7 linked regions of the Oryzias latipes genome follow. The protein of the gene in region 3 interacts with the protein of the main gene of each other region in a pairwise test. Links are inferred from orthologs where the notes say so. Each region holds a gene or a part of one and is shown on either strand. Other genes may lie near its edges.

Region 1 (2,894 bases), on a different chromosome or scaffold from region 3:
AAAAACAAGTTTTGTAATTATTTTCAGTTGCAGATAAAACCAGCAACACAAACACCCCCCTTTCTGAGCTGAATTGTCCCTCTTGTGTCTTTGAGGACATTTGATTTGGAGACAGCCATGGACACAGAAACAGGAAAAAAAAAAAAAAAAGTGGAAAGCTGCACTGACTAGTCACAGTTTGTAAGTTGATGGGTAAAAACCCCTCAGAGCCCAGAGCACTTTGCTCACTTTTTGAGGTTCAGGTTATCTGCAAGCTTTAATGTGCATCTGGGCTTTTAAACACAAATGAAGTTCTGTTGTTTCACCATGGCTACATATGTAAAGTATGACATGGGCAAGTAAATGAGTTGATCGTTCCCAGAGAATTGTGGGAGGATTTTATAGGCGGGACCAAGCCGAACACCATCTACTTGCTGGTCTTTAATTGACACTGACAAATGTTTTCTTTTGTATGCGAAAACAGCAGAAACAGCTGATATTCAGAGGAAAGTGTTCCTGTTAGAGATCAAACAGATTCACCAGAAATGAAACAGAGAAAACCACAGAACTTTTTAGTCTGTCCAAGTTTTACTCAAATAAAAATGATTGAATGCATGTTTGCATTTAGGAATCAAAGTCTTCTTTGCTGTATTAAAAATTAAGTGAAAATTTTTCCATCAGTTTTGCTTGTAACTTAGAATCACACAGCAGTAATAAAGTTCACACCGGTCAGTCTGTCTTTTGGTTTAGGAGCTCAGTATCAGCATTTTTATACATTCAGTTGAAAGATTAAAACCAAAATAAACAAAAGCGTGTTCAAAGAATTATTGAGAATACCTCTTCCCTAATATAATGTGGATTCTAAAAGCAAACACAGACCTGGCAGATGAAGGCAAACGCCTGCCTCCCCACCCACTTGGGACAGTGGCAGAACCTCACGGTCAGCTCATTGATGAACTCCAAGCCCAGGTCATCAGCCCTGCTGGCATACAGCTTCTGCAGAATTTCCACCACCTGACGACAGGTAAGAGCACACAACCCACTCAGACCACTTCTAGAAGTTTCAATGAATGAATCAGCAGCTGACAAATTGGAATATTTTCCCCAGATGTCGCCTTGATGCTAAAACCTGAATCATGATGGTTATGGGTTTTTTTCTTCCATGTGTGTAGCATCTAAACTTCCTCTCTATTGTGATACTACTGTCATGTTTCTTTAAATATTTAGACATGTCTTTCTACAAACCCCATTTCTTGTAAACTTACCAGTTTGTAAGAAATCCACCGGACTTCTGACACTTTGTCAGAGCAAAGGGTGAGCGCTATATGTCTGAGGTAGTCGTACACGTCACGGTGGTTGTACAACTCTATTATCAAGATCAGCTGCCTGTAGGAAAAAAAAAAACAGCAACACACAATTATGAAGCTGATAGAAAATAAAGTCAGTTAGAATACCTGTAATTTGAACAGATCTAGGGCTAAAAGAACTATGCCTGATTTTATTTAAGACAGGATTGTGTTATGACTTCATACCTATCAAAGCAGAAATGCATTTATGCTCCATGATATGTGGCAATAGGAGCTACTTATTGCGTTCATGTGCACACATGTTCAGTGTGTTGGTTACTGTTGTCACTGCTTGAAGCAAACGTTAAAAATACACAACAGAAAGGGCAAGCTGCCAGCAATGTGAAGCCCGGACTAGATCCAACTGGCACTAGGACCCTGAAGAGACCACGGTCAAGAAAGAGAATATTCTCCAGACACTGTGTCATGAATAATTCACACTTCTCCATTGACGCATGTTTTTGCCTCAACAGTGCACAAGTGTGTGAGCAGAACCAAATGCTAGAATGTTGTAGAATGACTTTCTTTTTCATGTTATGGTTATCTCTTAAAATATACAGATTTTGGCTTTATTCCCCCCCCAAAAAAAGAAGCTAGAAATACAAATAATTATTATTTACTAATCCAGCAAGAGACAGCACATGAATCTGCTGTCAATCAGGATAATGTGGTGTTAAATAAACATAAAAAAAGGGAATGTACAATCCTAAACCCCTTTTATAGATACAGTGTTCATCCATGGTGGTCTCGCTGTTTTCAGATTTTTTTTAGCGTGATTTTGCATGTTTTGTTTACAACACAATGTGTTCTACATCTTGATTGGCTGTTGACCTCGTCAATCAATTTCCTCTGTGCTGCATCTCCTGTAGAGGATGCTTTCAGCGTTCCCCTATTTACATAAAACACTGATCGAGAACAGATCTTTGTATTTATTCTATAATACTGGGCTCATTTTTCCATGAAGGTCTTAGCTTTGAGAGTTTAAACAAGAGAGAAAATGGGAAAATGTAAAGTCTGTCTGAAAAAGTATCGAAAGTGTGCCTAAAGGCTTTTACAGCCTTAAACATCTATACTCTTACTTTGTGGATTTCACCCATCTCGGTTTAATTATCCCTGACAATAAACGAGGGAACACTGTTATTAGTCTGGCTAAAATATTATGATATCTAATATATTGGTTTGCATCCCTCACCCCCTACTGAAACTGTTTCTTAACACCATAGTAGTAGGTTTGCAGATGACAGCCCCTAAACCTACTACTATGATGGAATCAACCTGGATGAATGAGAGTCCTCATAGACATGTTTTTTAACACAGAAATATGAAGCAGTGCTTTATGAATAAACTGAATAGAAAATGATGTTCAAGTCTGTTGTGTGTGAGGAAACAAAAGTCAACGTACTCTGCCAGCTCATATCTGAATCTCCAGTTGCGACTGTTGTCTGTGACCATGAACTCCTGCAGTTGGTACAGATACTCTCTCCTTTTGTCTGCATGCAGCAGCTGCAACAAGAGAATGACAAACAACATTATCTAGCACACCCATGCCAACGACTTCCTTTGGTTTAG
Region 2 (3,725 bases), on a different chromosome or scaffold from region 3:
CTAGTTTAACATTGAGGGGTTAACATGAGTGAAAGGTTTGGGTTGTGAAGAAAATCAAACACTATTTCTTACAGATAAACCTTAGTAAACATCACAAAATTGTAACTCATTTATAAATTTTTCAACCTTGCAAAAAATATATATTAGGCATTTTCCCCAAGTTGAGCCGTTAATCACATTTTTCTGTTGCAGGATGCAGACTCTGCATACTTCAGGAAACCAAAGACCTCCTGAAAAACCTCATTTTTCAAGACCAAAGGTGTTTATTACATTCCTACGGTAGATGTTTTCTAAAAATAAAATTACTACTGCTTTAAGAGCACAGTGCCCATCTTTCATTTTAAATAAAAAAATAAATTAAATAAAAAGTACTATTGTACACGGATCATAACACAAACTTAAGACAAATGATCAAAACTTATTTTTAGAAAATTACATCTTACCCAAAATAAAACACTTATTTATGGATCAAAGTTTGGTTGAACAAATCAGACCAGGTGTGCATTTGCCACGCTTTTTTTTTTATTACAAGTTGAACCAGTTACACATAAAAAACTATTATATACAATAAACTTAACTATTCCTCCTTAACTGTAAACAATTGAACTGTAAACCAAACAATAGCAATAAACGGCATACACATACAAAAATACATACTCAAGGCACACCCTTGATATTCTTAACAAAACATTAAAAGTCCCTTTTGTATGGACATGGGAGATATACAAGGGGAAAAGAAAACACAAAAGTGTAGCAGGTTCATCTCAAAGGATATGGCTAAACGTTCATTATTTTTATTAAAGCACAACCATTAACAAACTACGTAATATTTTAACTTTAGTGATGACCTAAATAACATGTTTAAACAACGAAATGTTTTTTTTTGTTTAAATAAACTTTGAAACTTTTGTAACTTCTTTGAAATGGAGACTGTTTTCTTTTTGCTACAGCTAGATCAATGAAGCACCCAGAATCACATTTGTTAGTAGAATGTAGAAAATGAACTTCCAAAGTTAAAAGTCTGCAGGTTTAAAAAAAAAAAAGGATTTGTATTGAAATGCAAAAGTTTACTCCGAAAAAAAAGAATAGAAATGTTAGTTGGTAATACCGATTATAAAGACCGAGTGTAAAAAGAGGTTGGAGTGGAAATGGGTCAGAGGCAGGGGAAGTGAAGGGGCGCGGAGGAGTAAATGGGGTAGCCCAGAGGAGGGTCGGCTGCCTGAACGGTTAAGTTTCGAAGCATGAAAGGGTGAGCCTGGATGCTGTAGCGCTCTTCGTCATCATTAGTAGCGTACAAGAGTTCCCAGGAGAGGTTCGCCCACTGGCCTCGTACCCCCTCGCCATTCAGGTGGCCTACCTGCACCAACTGCTCCTGCAGGGTCAGGACTCGGCCTGTGTAGGTACCCTGTAGACAAAAGATGTTCAAGAGGGTCATCTTTAGGTAAACAGGCTTAGAATCTAATATAGGCTGAAACTTTCACATCACCATGGCAAGATCATGTCCCAAGGAAAATAAGAAGGGCTTCTCCTGAAGGACGCCATCATGCCAGCCTTTTTCTGTCACCAGACCGATGTACCAGTCTCTTTCATAATCTTCTAAAGTGCTGAACAACTCCTCGTGGGACTCCATTGCCCCAAGGCTAGCCTGATCAAACAAGAGCTTGAAACTTAGCCTGAGGGAAAATTAAAAAAAGCAGAAAAGTCTCACATGTATCTTACTGAATAACATAAAATCAGTGGAAAATCATCAGCTTTAAGAGATTCTGAACAGCAGTGTCACCTGAAGGCTTTTAGTGTGAGCTGGTAGAGTTCTTTACTTGATGACAGCCAGTCGAGTCCTTCTGTCCATGGCACATCCCCACAATACACCCTGTATATGTAACTAGGACTGTTGAAGGCTGTCTCAGCACCAAGTGAGATAAGGCATGACAGTGCAACCTTAACATGCAGTTCTTTCAAAACCTCGTCTTCCTTTAGTGCTTTGTTCATGTCCTCCGAGGTTTGACCCTGCACGGCAACCCCAAACCGCCCCAATGTGAACCGGAACCATTCCTCTGGAAATAAAGGCCGCAGCGACAGCAAGCAGGAGGGTAGTAACGGTGCTGTCCTCCACCCCGGCGGTAGGTTGAATATTTCTGAGTAGGGACAGCTGAAGTTCAGATGGGGGTTCTCTCTGAAGAGCTCTGGGTTTAATCCTTTATCTACGGCTGGCATCCCGATGCCCAGTCCCAGAGGCTGCAGGGGCTGAAGAGCAGAGAGCGCCATGTTTTCAAAAAGACTATCCATTTCTACAGAACCTGGCAGCGAACCTCCTGTCTCTAGCGTTGTGTGTCCAGGTTGAGCCTCTGCAGTCACTAATGCCACAGTCCGTCTGGCTGGTTGGGGTCCAAACAGGTCGTCCTCGTCTGACCAGTCACCAAAAGAAGTCGTACTGGAGCTGTCTTGTCTGAATTTAACGGAGGATATATTTGATTCTACCATAACAGCTTCAGGTGGCTGGTTACACGTGGTCTGGGGAAACTGTGAGGACTGGGACTTCATTCCCCAAATCCCTGACCCCTCCTGGCTGCTCCATAGAAACCCCTTGTGCTTCTGTACACCATATCGAAGGAGCAGCCAGATCAGAACTTTCATGAAGTCATCCTGAAGTTTCCTCAAGTTTTCATGCGAGTCAATGATGCCAGAAAGTACATTTCGAGCATCAGAGTACACTCGCACTTCGAGCGTGGCGCAGGGAGTAAGAGCGTTTCCCCAGTGCGAGTTAAACCCGTGGCTAAAGCCAATACGCTCAGGATGTTCAAAGGCGGCCTCAAACACTTCATCAACTCTCCGAGCTTCCACTGTGTGGCAAGAGGTCTCCTGTAGCTCAAGACCCTGTAAGGAAATCACCAAACAAAGTGACGCTGCTGTAAAATTCCTGCAACAAGGTACATATCCCAAAGATTAACTGCTTACCTTAATATTGACTGTGCAGTAGCCATATCCTTTCTCTAGAATCATTATCCAAACCATACGATCCTGGAAGCGGCCAAGAAAATGAGAGCCTGGGGTTAAGGAACCTACAGAGAGAGAAAGGCATCTGTCAACTATGTATCTCATATTTAATGAGGTAAAATAAACAAACCGCAGTATGGAGTACACACCCAGAGACACTCAAAGAATCTAGAAACACACCACTTTCATTTTGTGTCACCTGTTTGCTGACTTTAAGAATGTCATGAGCTGCGTCTATTGCAACATTGGTACTGCCCTAGACAGCCAGCTGCACAAAGATTTAAATATTAAAACTCCTGTTTTTTTTTCCTTTGGTCAAGTCAAGGACAGACTCATGCTGTGTACACAACGTGAGCTTTTAATTTTTGAAGACGAAAGTCAGGCTAATTTGATGCAGATGCACAATAGCAGCAAAATGAAGCAGGCTATTCTTATGCATTGACTCGTGGTGCGTGGTTTAAGGATAATCTCACATCCCAGAAAGACATCTCGGAATAGTTCCAGCTGTTACCTTGTGATGTGAAGTGACAGATTAAGCAGATTCCTTTACTGCTCACTGCCCTGTGGCCCCCAGTGTGAGCAAAGCAAAAGAATAGGACAAACTGCCATCTCTCAACCAACAACCCAAATGAATAATACGTCTGAGCAACAGCTTCCAAAGCTCATACAAAAACAATAGGTTGGTAATTATGTGATCTATTCATGTAAAGCCTCCTTATCAACATCAACAC
Region 3 (4,147 bases):
ACAAAATGATGACTACACCCTTACTTTGACGTGTTCTCCCTACCATGACAAAGGTGGAAAGATTTCATGTAATCCATGGACACCACTGAAGATCACAAATCATTCAAGAAAAAAGGTTCAGAGCACTCTCTAGTGGGTCTAGATGACCCAACTCCCAGGATAGCAAAAGGGTTAAAACTAATCTGGTCTGTTGATCTGCTAAGAGAGTTTCGGGATGCGCCTTCACTGTAGATCAGCAGGGTTTGCAGAGCTTGGTGTCGATGGATGCTGCGTGACCAAAGATTATCCATAAGTTGATTCTGCAGTACAGACATCTAGTCTGGTCAAAGAGAAATACACAAGAAATCCTTTTTTATTATAAAGATTTGGTTTTAAGTTTCTATGAGGCTTAAAAAGATGATTTTACTTGGATATGATAAGAACAAAATACTTAAATTCAACTTTTACTGAATTCAAATAAGAGTATGGTAAACATTGTTAAAATTAATTTCTGCAAAAAATAAGTCACATGATAAAATTAACATTTAACACTAATGTAGTCTGATTAATAAAACAATTTAAAAATAGTTTATAGTTATTATATAACAATTTTTTTACATTCTCAAAAGAGGGTAGGTACTTGTACACAGTTATATTTAGTATAAAAACTTATGAGAAGTAAATAAACAAAAAAAAGTATTTTTATTAACCATTTTGGGGTACTCTACAAACCCACAAAGTTACTACAGTTATTATATATTTTACAACCTGTAAGGAAGTTATAAAATATGTCCGTTAAACTAGCTAAAGCTATTGTGTAATTCTTGAGAACTTCATCTTGTAGAATTTTGTTTTATTTTTTGAGAGATTGAATACATACGGAGCCTGTTACCGCCCTAACCCCTAACTTTTAAAAAAAACTATACAGTGCAGCATTATATAATGCCTTGAATTTTAAAAGCTATTCAGACACCGTGCTATCCTAGGCACTTTAACATTGGGAGTTGGGTCATCTAGACCCACTAGACCAGTTCTTCTCAAATAGTGGGGCTAGGCGGCGCGAAGCGATGTCAGGGGGGGGCGCGCGGTGATGGTGGTTTATGCACAGGTAATACGGGCAATCGTCCGGTGCGCAAATTTAACATGGGGGCGGTGGTGACAGCGGCTCAGTGCTTGGAAAAATATCTGGTCCACTATTCGGTTCCTGTTGTCTGTTATATCACAGAGTTTGTAACAGCCTGAAACCTTTGAATTCCCGTCCCTGCAGCTGCTCCTATCTCGTGTCACACGGGGCTGCATGAGTGAGAACGAAAGGGGAGGGGTGGGGTGTGACTTTGTGATGATTATTTATAAGTCCACTGTCTTCTGAAGATAAACACAAAACATTTTAAAAACATTTAAATACATTTTTCTGCAAAAATTACAGACGCAATGCATTGTTGTCTATATTTCCCGATCTAATGAGCGTCGAGGCACACCGGTTTTTCGCAGAGACATCTGGGAAATTTCTGCGGGGCACTCAATTTGGGAATTGTAGGTTCAGACAGCACTTCAAAATGGTAAGATGCACTATATAACGGTTAGGGTGGGATTTCGGACATAGGCTCTGTCAAAAACCAGTGTGCTCACTACGTAAATCGGTACCATAGACCACAATGCATTGCGTCAAAGCAATTTTTACCCCAAATAAAGTATATTTTAAACAAACCATCAAAGTTTTTATCTTCAGAACACAGTGGATTCATAAATACGATGGAGTTTTCAGTTTACAAAAAAAAAAAATTAAAATTACGATTTTTAATTCGTAAATTTCAGAGAAAGAAAGTCATAACTGTTAAATTACGAGATTTTAAGACGTTATGAGATTTTATCTCGTTAATTTATGAGTTTTATCTCATAAATTCACAACTTAAAATCTCGTAAATTTTTGAGTTTTTTTCTCGTAAATCTACAAGAAAAAGTCATAGTAAAAAACAAGTAAAAACACATAAGTTTTCTGTTTATCGGAGCCTAGCTTGAAGACGAAATATGTGGAGACTTTTGTGAAGCTTTATTTCCAGATAAGTTTCAAAAACAAACAAATTTTGAGCCTTTTGACGACTTAAAATCACATTTTTGTTAGTGTAGCCAGCCTTCCAGGGTTCGGTGTCGGTAAAGCGGAGTTAACTAAGGAGCTCAGAGACTCGTTTGGGTGTAGAGGACCGCTACTTTATTTTCCTTTTCAATCACAAACCCAGAAGTCCATTTGTCACCTTACGTCATGAACCTGTCATGCGCAGAACACCAATGTTTAAACGAAATGTCCCGTTTCAACATAAAACAACAAAGATGAATGAAAATAGTCTGTTAAATTAGCATAAGCATGTTGAAAATGCCAAAAAAGTGCACACAGACCTCTAAACATCCTCCGTGTCTTCAATGCATTGTAATGAAATATACACAGACAGAAATGTGAAAGTATCTGCTGTAAATCCAAGAATGACTTATCAGATGAATTATTATTTCGTGGGAACATTTTTTTTTTTTACCCATGTCAGGTCACGGGCTCCGTACAGTACCTGTTGTGTCTCAGCCGGACTATAAGGACTCCATGCCTGGATCACTACTCCTCTCTGAGTCAGTCACGCGACACGTTACTTACTACGCGACAGGACATTCGCCGACGCGGCTGGAATGATCTACGGCTAAGACTCGTCCAAATTCACAGCCGTTAACATCCAGACAACCCGCGCGACGAATGACCCGGCCAACGTCGACCGTGAAGGCCGCGGCCACTGAAAGACGCAGCCCCCGAATTCGGACACACCCTCCATTTTCATCTCAATACAGATTATATTTACATATTTTGACTAAGTGTAAGCGTGGCTCGTTGGTCTAGGGGTATGATTCTCGCTTTGGGTGCGAGAGGTCCCGGGTTCAAATCCCGGACGAGCCCAAAGGTTTTTATTGTCCACTGCCCAAAGCTTTTTATTTTCCACTAAGAAAAACATTTTTATCCAAGTGGTTGGAGTGGATATTTTTTATTTTATTTATTTATTTATTTTTTTAACTTTTTACCATTTCTAAGTTAGTCATCTCCTTCGACCAGCCCTCCACCGGCCTAACAGCAAACACAGGAACAAAGACGGAGGCTTGGCTCAGCTTCCCCAGCTGTTGTTGGGCGAGTCCTGGGCGGTGACAGACGTCTCTGTTCCGCCCCCAGCCGCGGCGGACTCTCAACAGGCGGCAGACGCGACAGTTCATTTACAGTTCTTGACTGCAGGCAGACTGAGCCACTTGGAAAAACCTGATCTGAACGAGAACTAGAAGCATTTCACTCAAGTAAGTATAACATTTGATTTATTTGAACATGACTCCTCTTCTTCTGTCAGTGGTAAACTTCTTTTTATACTGTAACTTTTTACTATTAAAAGGACATGTTATTATCCAAGAAAATAATGAGTTTTCTTATCTTGATGTGAAATGGTTGCATTCACAAGAATTAAAATATCAAAAATTCCTCTAATTCATTTTTTCTCCTTAGAGTAGAAATAAATACAGCTGTCATTCCTGGGTAAAGTTTGACCAAAGGACAATCTTTTCATGTTTCTTCCCAGCCGGGCCCGTGGGACCGTCTGGGACCTTCTGCAGCTCCTCTGTGGCTCTCAGCAGGAACATCGCCGTCGTCCATCTGGACCATGGTTCTGTGTGAGGACAGCGACTGCACCGTCTGCTTCTTCCCTTACTCCCGCATGGACAGGATCCCCCGGGTGCTTCACTGCAGACATACCTTCTGTGAACTGTGTCTGGAGGCCATGCAGCAGGTCAGGAGCAGCTACCTGGCGCTGGCCTGCCCGCTGTGCCGCAGGGTCACCTGCATTGACCGAGGCCTCAGCCTGCAGGAAGCTCTGTGGGTGGACAGCAGGCAGTGGGAGCAGATCGCAGAGGCAGGAGAGGAGGACGACACACTCAAACTGGAAGGAGAGGAGCTGGAGACCAAGCAGCGCCTCTCATTACAGATGGAATGGTGAGTTCTGCAGGGGAACAGCACGTCCAACACACAGGTCAGCTTTTTAGTGATGCTGTGCCTCCGCTCTGCTGACAGTGGATGACATCATCAAAGATAAATACTGGCGCTTTTCTTCCAAAACACCATATAGAAAAATTGATTTCCTCTTTCTAGTATTGT
Region 4 (3,500 bases), on a different chromosome or scaffold from region 3:
CAGGTCACTCAGTCTGACCTCTGTGTGACCTGCAGAGTCACTCAGTCTGACCTCTGTGTGACCTGCAGAGTCACTCAGTTTGACCTCTGTGTGACCTGCAGAATCACTCAGTCTGACCTCTGTGTGACCTGCAGAGTCACTCAGTCTGACCTCTGTGTGACCTGCAGAGTCACTCAGTCTGACCTCTGTGTGACCTGCAGAGTCACTCAGTTTGACCTCTGTGTGACCTGCAGAGTCACTCAGTTTGACCTCTGTGTGACCTGCAGAGTCACTCAGTCTGACCTCTGTGTGAACTGCAGGGTCACTCAGTCTGACCTCTGTGTGACCTACAGGGTCACTCAGTCTGACCTCAGGTCACACAGTCTGACCTCTGTGTGACCTGCAGGGTCACTCAGTCTGACCTCTGTGTGACCTGCAGGGTCACTCAGTTTGACCTTTGTGTGACCTGCAGGGTCACTCAGTCTGACCTCTGTGTGACCTACAGGGTCACTCAGTCTGACCTCAGGTCACACAGTCTGACCTCTGTGTGACCTGCAGGGTCACTCAGTCTGACCTCTGTGTGACCTGCAGGGTCACTCAGTTTGACCTTTGTGTGACCTGCAGGGTCACTCAGTCTGACCTCTGTGTGACCTGCAGAGTCACTCAGTCTGACCTCTGTGTGACCTGCAGGGTCACTCAGTTTGACCTTTGTGTGACCTGCAGAGTCACTCAGTCTGACCTCTGTGTGACCTGCAGAGTCACTCAGTCTGACCTCTGTGTGACCTGCAGAGTCACTCAGTCTGACCTCTGTGTGACCTGCAGAGTCACTCAGTCTGACCTCTGTGTGACCTGCAGAGTCACTCAGTTTGACCTCTGTGTGACCTGCAGAGTCACTCAGTCTGACCTCTGTGTGACCTGCAGGGTCACTCAGTCTGACCTCTGTGTGACCTGCAGAGTCACTCAGTTTGACCTCTGTGTGACCTGCAGAGTCACTCAGTCTGACCTCTGTGTGAACTGCAGGGTCACTCAGTCTGACCTCTGTGTGACCTACAGGGTCACTCAGTCTGACCTCAGGTCACACAGTCTGACCTCTGTGTGACCTGCAGGGTCACTCAGTCTGACCTCTGTGTGACCTGCAGGGTCTGTGTCACGCCGTCAGGAAGGAGGTGTGGAAGTGTCTGCTGGGATATTCACCATGGAGCAGCACGCTGGAGGAGAGGAAGCTCCTGCAGAGGAACAAAACGTATACTGGTGACCTTACCACTGTCAGCTGACTGCATCTGCAGCAGATGCTGTTCCCATGGAAACGTGGTTGTTTGTGTCCGCCGCAGAGACGAGTACTTCAGGATGAAGCTGCAGTGGAAGTCCGTGAGTGAGGAGCAGGAGAGGAGAAACTCCAGGTTGAGAGACTACAGGAGTCTGATTGGTGAGGAAGACGCTCTGTGTCTGTGTCCTAATCTTCATCCTCCACCTCTTTTCCAATGTTTCTCCTGCTTTTTGTCGATCTGCTCTATTCACGCTAGCATTCCCCTGGTCTCTTCAGTAATCTTTTCATTGTCGTTCACCTTTTTGTTCTGCTTGCTGTGGAACTCTTCTCCTTATGGAGGAGGAAGCCGGATAAAACCCACGCATGCCTGAGGTGAACATGCAAACGCCACACAGAAAGGTCCTCCATTGGTGTTCTGGTTCAGGTCCCCCAGCCGGGACTTGAACCGGGACTTGAGCCTTCTTGCTGTGTGGCGAGAGCGCTAAACACTGCACATTAAAAAAAAACTGGTAGAAACATAAAAAAGTATTTAGAAAAATTAATTACCTTTTAGAAAGAATGTCATTTTATTTGGTTTTTGTGAGGTTTACGTAAAATTACATAAAATTTCAAACTTGAAGGAAAAACAAAAACCTGGGCACATCTTTAACTAATTTAGTTAAAAATTATTATTGAAAACTATCACAACATCAAGGAAAACAGCTGAATCTTCACATTTTTTGTTTCTCAATCATTACAAGAAATTTTCGTGAGATCGTAGAGAAACTAAACATCAATACCGACGATTGAGTTTCTCTTTTTTTTACATTTTTGGTTTCTGGTGTGCGGCGGGATTTTTGTCGAGGAAAAAGTGTACCTCGGCTTGAAAAAGGTTGAAAAACGCTGTTCTAGAGCACACTGGTCCTGGGGGAGACGCAAAAAAACCAAAACAACCCAAGCTCAGAAATGAACTCCGTTACTTCCTAAAAGGTCTAAAAGTTTGGAGAGGGCAGTCTTTCTGAGACTGAAGCCCCCAACCCAAGCATCAGATGATCTTAAGTCAACATCACAGTACTTTAAGTACTTTTTGATTTAAAGAGGATGGAGAATGTGGAGACTGCTGAGTCTTGTGCCTGTTCTGTTGGCGCTGCAGCTTCTTTATGGTTATCTGTCTCTGTTTCCAGAGAAAGATGTGAATCGGACCGACAGAACCAACCGGTTCTACGAAGGGATCGACAACCCTGGCCTGGCTCTGCTGCACGACATCCTGATGACCTACTGCATGTACGACTTCGACCTGGGTGAGAGCTGGCGGAAGACTGTTGCCCCCACCTCATGTTTTTCAACCTCATTCATTCCCGTTCTGAATGAGGAGACCACTGAGTGACCCCCACGTTATAAACCTTTAGACCAACAGTGGAATTCAGCATGAGGAGGAACTTCTCATGTAAATCTCCACGATCCAATAAAAAGCAGCGTGAACCAGAAGTAAATCTGAATACTGCCGATTGAATCTTCTACCTGTAATCCAGAGGAGCAGCAGTCTAAGCAGAGATCCGAGGACCTCCCTCCCCACAGGAACTTCTTCCAGTTTTTTGGGAGAACCACATGGTCCTCCCAGACCAGCCAATCAACAAAGTCCCTCCAGCGCAAGATCTGGTCTTATTAGTGATGGATCAGCTTCACTGCAGCCGCTACACCTATCGATCCAAAGCTCGATCCTTCACCTGTGAGCAAGATCCCAGATACTAAAACTCTCTGTCTGCCTACCCAAAGAGGGTGCACCCTCATTCTGATCGAGAACCATGGCATCCAACTTTTAAGTGCTAATTCCTGCTTCAGTTGTTTCGAACTTGGCGGTAAACTGTCCCAGAACACACTGAAAGAGCTGGTTTTACAGAAACCACCAGAACAACATCATCACAATATAGATGTCCTGGTCGTGCTCAAACATAGTGTTCATTATGGACTAACTGTGACTGACACAGAAGTCTAATAACAAAGCACCACTCTGGTTCAGATCAGGCAAACCATTCTTCTTGATCACGCCCCTCCAGCTATTGCTGTCATTGCCCATGTGTCTGGTGATGTCTCTCAGTAGAACACTGAAGTCCCCTTCAAAGCACTTTTTGGTACATTTCCTAGAGACTCTGAGAAGCTTGGGTTTGGCCCATAAGCCAACACCACAGTGAGAGACCTGTCTCTGTCCTGGAGACATGGGGACTTCACCCATATGCCCATCAGGGTACATGGCAGCTGAACTGGGGTGCTTCTC
Region 5 (3,971 bases), on a different chromosome or scaffold from region 3:
TTCCTTTTGCTCCGTCTGTGCGCGGTTGACAGCTTGACAGATTTATTTATTTTTTGGACAGGGGGGGATTTCAAACATCTTGGAGGAGCTGGTGGTGCAGCCCGTGCTGGTTTCCATCAGCGCGTTGACTCTGGCCACAGAAACGGTCCGTAGCATCCTCAAGATCGATGACGTGGTAAGACTCAGAACTGGATTCCCTTTTTCATTTTACAGAAGTATGATTGGAAATTAATTTTTGTGTTCTGGTTCCAGGTGAACACTCGATAGGTCTGTCCGGTTTCTGAAGCCCGTTTGTTCTGCGAGGGATCAGAGCATCACGTCGACAGCAGTCTGCTCCGATTTCTGCTGTAGTTATTGCATTGCCTAATTTAATAAAAGGCTGTGGGGTTTTTTTTGTTGACACTGCTGCCTCTTTTTGTCTTTCTTTCTTTGTCTTTGTCTTTATGTTGCACTAAAGTGTAGTACACAGATTTAGAAACATGTTCTGGTCTTCATTTTTTTTAAATTGTATGTCTTGAAAACCGCTAATTTGAAAAAAGTATGTGAAATATTAACGCAGAGTTAACACGTATTTACCAAATAATTTCTGCAGCATGAAAAGATGCATAAAATCTGGTTTCTAGTACTTATCAGACTAATGGTAACATTATAAAACATGACCTAAATGTAAAATGTTGATTTGCTGTTATAAAATAAGGTTTTCTCTTGATTAAAGAGTAATGACAGATCTTTATTTGTCATTGTCACGCATACAATAGAATTTAAAGTGATTCCTGGTCAGTCTAACACTCATACCTTAAAAAAAATTAGACTCCAGGCGCCGGTGCCTCTGACCTCATGCTCATCCAAGACGTGGACGGTGCTGCTTTTCTATAGAATTGGTTAAAAATGTAAAATCTTTAGATAGAATTTTTGTGTGTCTTCAAAAATTGGGTGATGATCATGGCCTGGTTCAAAAAAAAAGTCCTGCTTCTATGCAAAATAAATTCAATGCATAAGTAATTTTATTATTTGAATTAAGATACTTTTTTTTATTTAAGTAGCCGTTTTCATTCAATTAATCAAATAAGAAAAAAATATATACATTTTAATGGTCAGAACCTGTGTTTACTCGATTCATTTTAAGCGTTCAGTTTAAAAATGTACACGTTTCCAACGCTTTTATTTTGTATCAGAGCTTTGTTCTTTGCTTCCGTTTTACGTCACTTCCTTCCTAACGATGCTTCTCCGTTGCTAAGAAGCCAGCCAACCTGACAACGACTGTTCCCTCCGGGGAACGAACTAAGTAACAGAACCTCATCAAGGCGCTTTTTTAAAAAAAAAAAACTGTTTCAACAAAAAGATGGCGAATCCTCACCGGACGAACGTTTTATTAACTTCCTGTCTGAAGGCGCCGGTGGACCCGCACACCAAGGCGCCGCTTGCGTCATACGAGCGCGGGGCAGTCCTAACGCACGCGACTGCAGGCCAGCTGGACAACCGGGACTATGAGAAAGAGGTAAACACATGTTTAAAAATATTTCACAATAAAAGTCACACTTTCAAAATAATAATCTTTCTAAAAATAGTTAAGACAACTCTGTATTTATTGAGATATATAGAAACTTTGTATACACTTTAGATTGGAGGTTGTTATACTATATTTTATTTATTTATTTATTTATTACAATGTGAAGGTGGGTGAAGCTGTTGTTTTCCTGTAGTCTGAGTGCAGCTCCCTCTGACCTGAGACAGGTTATGTCCAGTTAACAGGATGTTGACAGTTTCAGGTCAGCCAGGTGGAAGGGATTTGATCTGTCATTTGTTGTCCCGTCTATTTTTGGATTTCTGTCTTCACTAGATTACCAGAAGTCTTGTTGGGTCGGTAATCTCTTTTATATCCTTTTAACAGCAATGACCTTCTGTGGAAAAAACACCTCGTAGCAAGTTGGTCTAATTTTCAGAAACGCTTCTGACAAACATCCTTTTTAATGGAGGCCGGACACTTTAGGAGGAGTAGATGTCAGCGGAGCTCCTTCATGCTGAGCTCACCTTTGTGTTCCAACCATATGGCTCTGATCATTGTGACTGCAGGATAATGAGCTTAGTCCTGAAGACCTTACTGCCCCTCAACAGGGCAGCAGTGTTCTTTAGGGCATAGAAGTGAAAACAAACTTTTAATAAATTCATGTAGGAAGCCTTCAAATACCTGTTAATTAACATGATGATCCTTGAGTGACCTTTGGGCATTTCAGCTGGAGTTTTGGGACTCGGGCTCGGATTTCTGTGATGAGGACTGTCTGGGGATGGGAGGAGCTCACGTGGGGGGCAGCTTCAGGGCAGCCGTCGACCGCCTGGACCTGAGTGAAATCTTCTTCTCCAATGAGGAATACTACAGCAAGCTGGAGGAGCTGAAGAGGGCCCACGAACGCACCATGGCAGAGCTGGAAAGCATGTACCAGCAGAAGCTGCAGCTCAGGTCCGGTGAAGCTTTTGATATGAAGGCCCTGGATATCGGTCACAGGTCAGTTGGGCCGGATTAAAGGAATTTCTTTGACAGTTTAACACTAATTTTGCAAACCGAGACTATTGTTGTTGTTTTTTTATTTTATATATTAACCATATTTTCACTGAGATTAAGGGACTTTGATTATGAGATATTCATTCCTGCAGAAATAAAATAAAATAATTAGCTCAGCTGCCTACAATTGAACATGTTTTAGGGTTGCTTTTAAGAATAAAAAACAAATTACCTGGAAAGCTTAAAGATTTCCTCTTTAAATTTTTTATTGTTCGCATGTCCATTTCTTTTTTAGATTATACTGTCATGCATGGAAGAAAGCTTCGGCCTATCTTATGCATGTTTTGCAGGATTCAACCATTGACTGTAAATGAGAACTGAACTGAGTGACCCCTCCCTCCTGGCGTCCCAAACAGGCCAAAATCGCATAGACTTCTATAGAGAAATAAACAGAAGTTCTTCAGTCATTCTATTTTTCAGAATAACTATTCTTGCTCTGAAACCTTTTTTTTTAAAGACCCACTTCTATGAAAACTGTGATTTTCATAGAAAATCACAGTTTTGTGGTGTTTTTAACATGTTCTTATGGCATTTTTCTGAAGATGGAGGACAACTTTGAAGAGAATTAAGGTTATAATTGCATTTCTGAGTATTTCTTTATTCAAATTGCTGTGAATCAGGAGCAGATGAGACAAAAAACAGTTTGAAAAAGAGGATATTTGTGATGTAGAAAATACGCTGGGTGGGCCAAAAGCTCCCTGCTCCATTCTGAGCTGGAATCTGGATCTAGACTGTACGGTTGAAGAGCTTCACCATCATCCACAGTAATGTTAGGTTGGGGGTGTAAGGGCCTGAAAGGTAGCGAGAGAGAGTGTAAACAGAGAACTCTCTGCTGTGGGTGACAGACGTCATCTTTAGCTTAACCCCTAACCCAAAACTCAGAGGTGAATTTCTAATGAACTCCTGCCACTCTGCAGAAACTTTTAGCCAAAAAAAAATTATTTTGGCTAAAAACAGCATAATCATAATTGAAAGACCACTGGGAATGCTCTAAAAATCAAAAGATTATCATAATTCTCAATAATCTTAGTTCTTTCATGATATTTTTTCTGTTGTAAAGGTTATTCAAGCTATAAGCTGACCCATCAGATGCCTCAATAAAATTCAGCGGCCAAAGTTTTGTAAACTTGATTGACAGGTGGTAGAAATGTGGACTTCCAACAGTACCGATTGGTGAGAGTTGTCGCCATAGAAATGCAGGGGTCCAATTTGGACATATCACTGCTGACTCCAACACGGTGGTGTCTGTATCGCAAAAAACAGACGACTGAATTGATTACATTTTGTTGGAGCCATAAGTAAACCATTTTCCATGGGTGACGTCACATTCACTCAGTCCAGTTCTCATATACAGTCAATGGTTTTAAGTAATTGGCTTTGGGCGGGGTTTAGTCTGTGCTCGAGGTGGGTC
Region 6 (3,500 bases), on a different chromosome or scaffold from region 3:
ACTGAAACCCATCTGCTTTGGAAGGCAAGGCGGGGCTCGAGGAGGTTGTGGTGGGCCTCTGTGTCGGGTGAAGGTGAGACACCAGCAGAGGTTCCAGTGGAGGGATGTGGTCAAAACCATCCTCTTGAACGCCCGGGGGGGTGAGGTTCTAGGTGGAAAGTGGGTCGCCTCCTGCAGGCTCTCGAGGAAACACCAGAAGATCAGGCTTTCTGGAGGCGTTTCCATCGTAGCGAGACATGGAGGTCTCGTGGGGGCTTTGAGCCACTTGACACCCAGCTTTACATCTGCTTTTCTGCAGGCATCGTGCAGGTCCACCGCATAAGTCAGGTTTGTAAATCCACTACGTCTGCAGTCCTCCTCGGATCCGAGGCTGATCTCCAGAGTCAGTTTTGGCGCCAAGCAGTGTCTCACCACTCCAGGGGTGTGGCCTCGTCAGGCTCCTCACGGTTGCTCAGCGGTACGGCAGCCTCTAGCTGGTCGCCCTAAACTGAAGCCCATGGGAGGCAAATATCTGCGGACGCAGTCGGTTAACTCAGGCGGAGGGGGGGATTGGTTACCCTAATCATTGTTTTGTGGGGTTTGAGGGAGAGCCATGCACAGTGTTCACAAGGGACCGGAGAAGCTATCGCATCCTGGACCGTATGGTTTGCTTGGAGACAAACCAGCTACTCAACTCAGAGAAGGTAATGTGGCCTCGATGATCCAGTGATCAGTTTGCCCTCTGAACAGTTAAGCTACGCTGTTACAACAAAAGCTCTCCGCTTCTCGGAGCAAGCGTGTTGGACTGAGGAGGAAAAGGTGACGACCAACTTCTATTCTAGAGTAGACGTCACCTTCTGTCTGCCAGTCGGGCCGGGGAAAAAGCTTCAGAGGAAAACGCATGGGGAGGGGCGTGTCCTCATGGTGAGATACTGAATGAATGTAGAAAGAAAACTCTCAGCATTGTTCAGTTGTCCCACAAAAGACAAAACAATACACTAAATTCTTCAGGTCCTGATACAGAATATTAGGAGGCATCACTCCACCAGGCTCTTGATTCCAGCGGCAGTAATGCCCCAGATCCATTAAGCAATCCTGCTTTGTAGTTCCCAAACATTATTCAAGATTTTTGTAGCACAATCAGTTTGAGGTCAGTCAGCACAACCAGAATTCACACAAACTGTACCGTACACAAGACGCAGCGCTGATTTTAGGAAAAATGTATTAGGTTTAAAGTTTACGTGTCCCTTTTGGTCCAAAGAATACGGTATAAAACTCTCAAAATGTACCTGCTCCACTTGATCCAGTCTCTTCCGTAAGTTCTCATTCAGATAGGTCTCCACCCGGGTCATGATCCCCTCCAACTTGATTCTCTCATTCAGAAGTTGTCTGTTGTCCTGTGAAAACAAACCAACAGTATTTGACCCTCTGATGTTTGCACAAAGCAGAAACTTCCAGACACTGACTCTAATGTGAGGATGACATAACACTGCTCTGTCACATCTATTCTCACCCAAAGTATGAATTATGTCACCAATAATCAGAGAAACAGAATTTACAAGTGGGGGGCAGTGTTATGGGGGTGGGGGCTGTTGTGCAACAACAGTAGGAGGAGAGTGGAGCGAGCAGCAATGAGTTGGGGCAATGCCAGATTCCAGGAGCGTCCCACACACAGCTGCAGCTCTCCTCCATCATCTGAATACACTAGCAGGAGCAGCAGAACCAGAACCAACAATGGGAACTTTATAACAGACGTTTTCTCTGAAACCACGGTCGGCATTGATGGATAACAATACATTTCTAAATCTGTCCCTCCTCACAGGTGCAGGACGCTCTAAGAACAAACAAAAGCTGGCCCTCTCATAGCTGAACACAAATATATTCATCACTTCTGTACTAAAAGCCAATATTCATTAGCAGTAATGAGAAGGATGAGGGGGCTGAAGGAGGATGTTATCAAGTAACTGGGTTGCACTGATTTTGTCTGGAACTGCCGTCATCAAGTTTCAACCTGTAGAGAGCAGGTAACGAAAAACATAAAACACATCGCTCAAAGACAAGACTGAACATGTGAGGAAGATCAGTAAAAAACTCACAAAACCCAAAGGCACTGCAGGGAAAAAATGACTACGGAGCAACAAAGGTGGTCACTGCGGCTATTTACGGAGCAACAAACGTGGTCACTGCGGCTCTTCACGGAGCAACAAAGGTGGTCACTGCGGCTCTTTACGGAGCAACAAAGGTGGTCACTGCGGCTCTTTACGGAGCAACAAAGGTGGTCCCTGCGGCTCTTTACGGAGCAACAAACGTGGTCACTGCGGCTCTTTACGGAGCAACAAAGGTGGTCCCTGCGGCTCTTTACGGAGCAACAAAGGTGGTCACTGCGGCTCTTTACGGAGCAACAAAGGTGGTCACTGCGGCTCTTTACGGAGCAACAAAGGTGGTCACTGCGGCTCTTTACGGAGCAACAAAGGTGGTCACTGCGGCTCTTTACGGAGCAACAAAGGTGGTCCCTGCGGCTCTTTACGGAGCAACAAACGTGGTCCCTGCGGCTCTTTGCGGAGCAACAAAGGTGGTCACTGCGGCTCTTTACGGAGCAACAAAGGTGGTCCCTGCGGCTCTTTACGGAGCAACAAAGGTGGTCCCTGCGGCTCTTTACGGAGCAACAAACGTGGTCACTGCGGCTCTTCACGGAGCAACAAAGGTGGTCACTGCGGCTCTTTACGGAGCAACAAAGGTGGTCACTGCGGCTATTTACGGAGCAACAAACGTGGTCACTGCGGCTCTTCACGGAGCAACAAAGGTGGTCACTGCGGCTCTTTACGGAGCAACAAAGGTGGTCACTGCGGCTCTTTACGGAGCAACAAAGGTGGTCCCTGCGGCTCTTTACGGAGCAACAAACGTGGTCACTGCGGCTCTTTACGGAGCAACAAAGGTGGTCCCTGCGGCTCTTTACGGAGCAACAAAGGTGGTCCCTGCGGCTCTTTACGGAGCAACAAAGATGGTCACTGCGGCTCTTTACGGAGCAACAAAGGTGGTCCCTGCGGCTCTTTACGGAGCAACAAAGATGGTCACTGCGGCTCTTTACGGAGCAACAAACGTGGTCACTGCGGCTCTTTACGGAGCAACAAAGGTGGTCCCTGCGGCTCTTTACGGAGCAACAAACGTGGTCACTGCGGCTCTTTACGGAGCAACAAAGGTGGTCCCTGCGGCTCTTTACGGAGCAACAAAGGTGGTCACTGCGGCTCTTTACGGAGCAACAAAGGTGGTCACTGCGGCTCTTTACGGAGCAACAAAGGTGGTCCCTGCGGCTCTTTACGGAGCAACAAAGGTGGTCCCTGCGGCTCTTTGCGGAGCAACAAAGGTGGTCCCTGCGGCTCTTTGCGGAGCAACAAAGGTGGTCCCTGCGGCTCTTTACGGAGCAACAAACGTGGTCACTGCGGCTCTTTACGGAGCAACAAAGGTGGTCACTGCGGCTCTTCACAGAGCAACAAAGGTGGTCACTGCGGCTCTTTACGGAG
Region 7 (3,500 bases), on a different chromosome or scaffold from region 3:
ATGTGAAGAAATTCTTGAGTGACAAACGTTCTGCAGGTTTTTAGACCTCCTTGTTCATTTCAGACGTCCTCTAGGTAATAATGCTAGATTCATATCAATATTGGAAAATGTTTCAGTATATTGCCCAAACAGCCCCCATGAAGAAATGTGGAGCAATCTGCAGCTTTTGATTCCAGTTAATTAAAAAATGATTCCTTAGATTTTAAACAGAATAATGGTTCATTCCGCCAGTCCAGTTTTCACCAATCCACATCCAAATGCTTTAACTGCATCGATGAAAAACAAACGTCCTGTTACAGAAACCAACACATTTGAGAAAATCTGTTCTGAGCATTTTGCCAGCATCACTAGTAAAGACTACAAACTTTAGGAAAAGGAAATTTGAAGTTTAGGCCAAAAAGACTGATGTCCATCCATTTACAGCTTTATAATCTGTTCTCAGCTCAAACAATGCAGAGAAGCTTCAGGCCAGCAGGACAGAGGCTTTTAACCAGCAACACCTAAATAATGCGCTTTTTGACAAAACGTGACTGTTTGGCTGAGAAAGCGACTTTTCATTCTGGTTTGCACTGATACAGCAGCTATAGCTGTCCTCTAAAACAGAATCAGCTGATGTATGTTGATTATGTAAGCGCTTCACTACTGCTTTTTACTGGAATCACGTTAATTGCGTCAATGGTTGAACAGTTATGGTAGTCGAAAGAATGTAAACTGGAGCTAAAGGTTCGGTGTAGAAGAATGTCCCTTTACAGTCCCGTGGGCAGGTCCTTATTATTTTATGTAAATATGATGTTGGAGTCAGAGAACGTCCTGGTGCATTTGCTGTTTTATGCATGGATTTCCTGTTGATGACAGAAGCAGTGGAGCGACTTTGGCTCAGGCTGCCTGTTTGTGTTTCAGGTACAAAGAGCTGACAGAGCAGCAGCTGCCCGGCGCTCTGCCGCCCGAATGCACGCCCAACATCGACGGGCCGAACGCTCGCTCCGTGCAGCGCGAACAGAGCCTGCACTCCTTCCACACACTGTTCTGCAGACGCTGCTTCAAATACGACTGCTTCCTGCACCGTGAGTGCTCACGGAGGCCTCACAGCCTCAAACGTCTGCATGACTCGGTGTTTGAAGGTTAAGCCACGCCTTTCCCTCTTTCAGCTTTTCATGCAACTCCAAACACATATAAGCGCAAGAACCTGGAGAACCTGGTGGAGAGTAAGCCCTGCGGCATCGACTGCTACATGTATCTTGTTCAGGTGAGTTTTCAATGTTGCTGTCTGACTTTTTGAAAGGAGGAACAAGTGGGCTGAAACTTTGAACTGCGTCCCCCAGGACGGGATGTTTCGGGAGTTTCCTGCTGGTGTTGTTGCAGAGCGGGCCAAGACGCCGTCCAAACGCTCTGTGGGTCGTCGCCGCGGACGGCAGCCCAACAGCAACAGCAGCTCTCGACCCAGCACCCCCACCATTTCCTCAGAAACCAAAGACGCCGACAGCGACCGCGAGGACGGCAAGGAAGACGAGCGAGACAACGATAAGGACGATGAAGACAAGAAGGACGAGACCACCAGCAGCTCAGGTACTTCACCACAGGCTGTGGCTTTCCTGATACTTTCACTGTTCCCTTTGTGAGCTGATGAGAAATCTTACAGAGAATGTTTTCAAGAACTCCAACACTGTTCAACCTTTGTGTTTGGATGAACGTTTGACCTTCATTACTGAACGCAGCTTCTCTGTCAGCTCCAGAGTCATCCTCAATGACAGAGTCTCTGCTGCACTTGGAAAACATTTCCACAACCGAAAGAAAACCAAAAACGGACAGTCGTGACGTGAGAAAGAGCAGCAGTGTAGAGCAGGGGTCTGCCACCTGAGGCTGTGGAGTCACATGTAGCTCTTTATCCCTCCAGCGTGGCTCCATGAATAAATAATAATACGTCTGTTAGTCAACTTTGTCCTTCATGTTCAGATTTTTCAACTGGTGAACTTACATTGGTTGAACTATCCTTTTTTTTAAGTACATCAACATCAAGAGGCATTGAGAGCTTGACCTTTTCTCCAAAATGCACACGTGTCAGACATGAGCAAAATGATGATCTATGGTCAGAGTGGGTCATTACTAGAATAAGATTAAAGCTCATATTCTCATATTTTATATCTAGTTGCTGTTCAGAGGCAAAGTTCTTCAAGTAAAATTGGAACTTAATCTGCTGCAGCAGGAGGATCTTATTTGACACAGGATGTGCTTTATTTTGAAAGGAACTTGTATGTGCTCCTGTCAAAACTAACGGAACAGAAATATAACACTGTTCTAATTGGATAATTGTAAGTATTTATAAGCTACATTTTTGTAAATGCATGTCCGAAGGGACAGAGAAACATCAATTAAGTGTATTTTCTAAACAGTGAGGTGGACTTTGCAGCTTTCGTTGGGTTTTGCTCTGTCAGAAACTGGACCAAATGGGTCTTTTAGTGTGAAAGGTTTCATCCTCCTGGTGTAGAGGGAAGAGCAGTCGCCATGAAAACGCCTTTTGAAAACCAAGTCAGACCAGACTTCACACAAAAACGACAGCACTCCACTCTATAGCCGTCTACTGTCAGCTCCCTTAGAGGAAACACCCTTTACATATTCTCATCTCATATGAGCTGTAACTGCCTTTAACACAAAAATGGAATATTGATTACCCAGAATGCCTCTTCAGTGCAGTCACACGGTTGTAAGGATTGCTGTTTGGATGTGTTCAGAGGGGAACTCGCGCTGCCAGACTCCGGTGAAGATGAAGCTGACGGGTGAAGCAGAGGCGGTGGAGTGGAGCGGCGCTGAAGCGTCTCTGTTCAGGGTTCTCATCGGGACGTACTACGATAACTTCTGCGCCATCGCGCGCCTCATTGGCACCAAGACCTGCAGACAGGTGAGCTGTGATGCACAGTGAACACGGGTCAGAAAGAGATGCACTTTCTGATTACGTTATGGCTTTTTGTGTGTTTTTATACCCAAAAATGAGATGGGATTTATGGCTCTTTTTAGGGAGCCAAATCTTTAGGATCAGTTCATTTAAAAGAGCCGTTCAAAACAGTGGCTCATTTGGCTCTTTTTTAAATGTACCGTATTCCTTTTTGAAGAAGCCAGCCGGGAGTTTATTCATTTCATCCTGGGAATAATCCCAGGGAGGGTTGATGGGCTGAGATCTGGATCAGAATCATTCAAATACAGATTTCTCACCAACAATTGAGTTCAAATTATTTTTGAAAGCTCAATTATAGCTTCATTTGACATGTGTGCAAAAGATGTCTGATATGGATTCAATGTAAACATTCCACTTCTATATCCCTGTAAGTTGATGCTGAGATCACCATTTCCCCCTTGTATAAAGAGTGGACCATGAATTCATGCAACAGGTCCAGTTTCTTACTGACAAGACTGAGTTAGAGCTGCAAAATCTCACTACTCTATTTATAAAAATGCAACAGCAGTTCCTTTCAAAATAAAATACTGTGTCAGTGAACTCCTCTTGA

Evidence for each region.
Region 1: the proteins of cep63 (region 3) and ppp4r1 interact in a two-hybrid assay, tested with the Homo sapiens proteins (2 studies listed by BioGRID and IntAct). The link is inferred for Oryzias latipes from reciprocal best matches to the Homo sapiens genes CEP63 and PPP4R1.
Region 2: the proteins of cep63 (region 3) and pcnx4 interact in a two-hybrid assay, tested with the Homo sapiens proteins (2 studies listed by BioGRID and IntAct). The link is inferred for Oryzias latipes from reciprocal best matches to the Homo sapiens genes CEP63 and PCNX4.
Region 4: the proteins of cep63 (region 3) and tbc1d15 interact in binary tests that used the Homo sapiens proteins (3 or more experiments, as listed by UniProt). The two-hybrid records come from large-scale screens. The link is inferred for Oryzias latipes from reciprocal best matches to the Homo sapiens genes CEP63 and TBC1D15.
Region 5: the proteins of cep63 (region 3) and fam161a interact in binary tests that used the Homo sapiens proteins (3 or more experiments, as listed by UniProt). The two-hybrid records come from large-scale screens. The link is inferred for Oryzias latipes from reciprocal best matches to the Homo sapiens genes CEP63 and FAM161A.
Region 6: the proteins of cep63 (region 3) and smc3 interact in a two-hybrid assay, tested with the Homo sapiens proteins (2 studies listed by BioGRID and IntAct). The link is inferred for Oryzias latipes from reciprocal best matches to the Homo sapiens genes CEP63 and SMC3.
Region 7: the proteins of cep63 (region 3) and ezh2 interact in binary tests that used the Homo sapiens proteins (3 or more experiments, as listed by UniProt). The two-hybrid records come from large-scale screens. The link is inferred for Oryzias latipes from reciprocal best matches to the Homo sapiens genes CEP63 and EZH2.

Annotation. Positions count from the first base shown.
Region 1 is NC_019863.2:13,852,844-13,855,737, reverse strand, and holds part of ppp4r1 (serine/threonine-protein phosphatase 4 regulatory subunit 1), read right to left. Parts: intron 2,829-2,894; coding exon 2,728-2,828; intron 1,366-2,727; coding exon 1,245-1,365; intron 994-1,244; coding exon 859-993; intron 1-858. UniProt on the Homo sapiens protein: Regulatory subunit of serine/threonine-protein phosphatase 4. May play a role in regulation of cell division in renal glomeruli. The PPP4C-PPP4R1 PP4 complex may play a role in dephosphorylation and regulation of HDAC3.
Region 2 is NC_019880.2:12,135,017-12,138,741, forward strand, and holds the end of pcnx4 (pecanex-like protein 4), read right to left. Parts: intron 3,060-3,725; coding exon 2,956-3,059; intron 2,875-2,955; coding exon 1,781-2,874; intron 1,674-1,780; coding exon 1,487-1,673; intron 1,406-1,486; coding exon 1,154-1,405; 3' UTR 501-1,153; downstream 1-500. Other genes in the region: dhrs7 (dehydrogenase/reductase SDR family member 7), read left to right, coding at 193-234.
Region 3 is NC_019862.2:2,686,827-2,690,973, forward strand, and holds the start of cep63 (centrosomal protein of 63 kDa), read right to left. Parts: upstream 2,801-4,147; 5' UTR 2,538-2,800; intron 1-2,537. Other genes in the region: uncharacterized protein LOC111947333, read left to right, coding at 3,657-3,985. UniProt on the Homo sapiens protein: Required for normal spindle assembly.
Region 4 is NC_019864.2:5,639,853-5,643,352, forward strand, and holds part of tbc1d15 (TBC1 domain family member 15), read left to right. Parts: intron 1-1,118; coding exon 1,119-1,222; intron 1,223-1,310; coding exon 1,311-1,405; intron 1,406-2,409; coding exon 2,410-2,526; intron 2,527-3,500. UniProt on the Homo sapiens protein: Acts as a GTPase activating protein for RAB7A. Does not act on RAB4, RAB5 or RAB6.
Region 5 is NC_019859.2:4,112,955-4,116,925, forward strand, and holds the start of fam161a (protein FAM161A), read left to right. Parts: upstream 1-1,171; 5' UTR 1,172-1,342; coding exon 1,343-1,498; intron 1,499-1,891; exon of another isoform or gene 1,892-2,234; coding exon 2,235-2,503; intron 2,504-3,971. Other genes in the region: cct4 (T-complex protein 1 subunit delta), read left to right, coding at 62-175, 253-267. UniProt on the Homo sapiens protein: Involved in ciliogenesis.
Region 6 is NC_019859.2:36,697,916-36,701,415, reverse strand, and holds part of smc3 (structural maintenance of chromosomes protein 3), read right to left. Parts: intron 1,377-3,500; coding exon 1,269-1,376; intron 1-1,268. UniProt on the Homo sapiens protein: Central component of cohesin, a complex required for chromosome cohesion during the cell cycle. The cohesin complex may form a large proteinaceous ring within which sister chromatids can be trapped.
Region 7 is NC_019878.2:3,247,520-3,251,019, reverse strand, and holds part of ezh2 (histone-lysine N-methyltransferase EZH2), read left to right. Parts: intron 1-900; coding exon 901-1,064; intron 1,065-1,148; coding exon 1,149-1,246; intron 1,247-1,322; coding exon 1,323-1,566; intron 1,567-2,729; coding exon 2,730-2,896; intron 2,897-3,500. UniProt on the Homo sapiens protein: Polycomb group (PcG) protein. Catalytic subunit of the PRC2/EED-EZH2 complex, which methylates 'Lys-9' (H3K9me) and 'Lys-27' (H3K27me) of histone H3, leading to transcriptional repression of the affected target gene.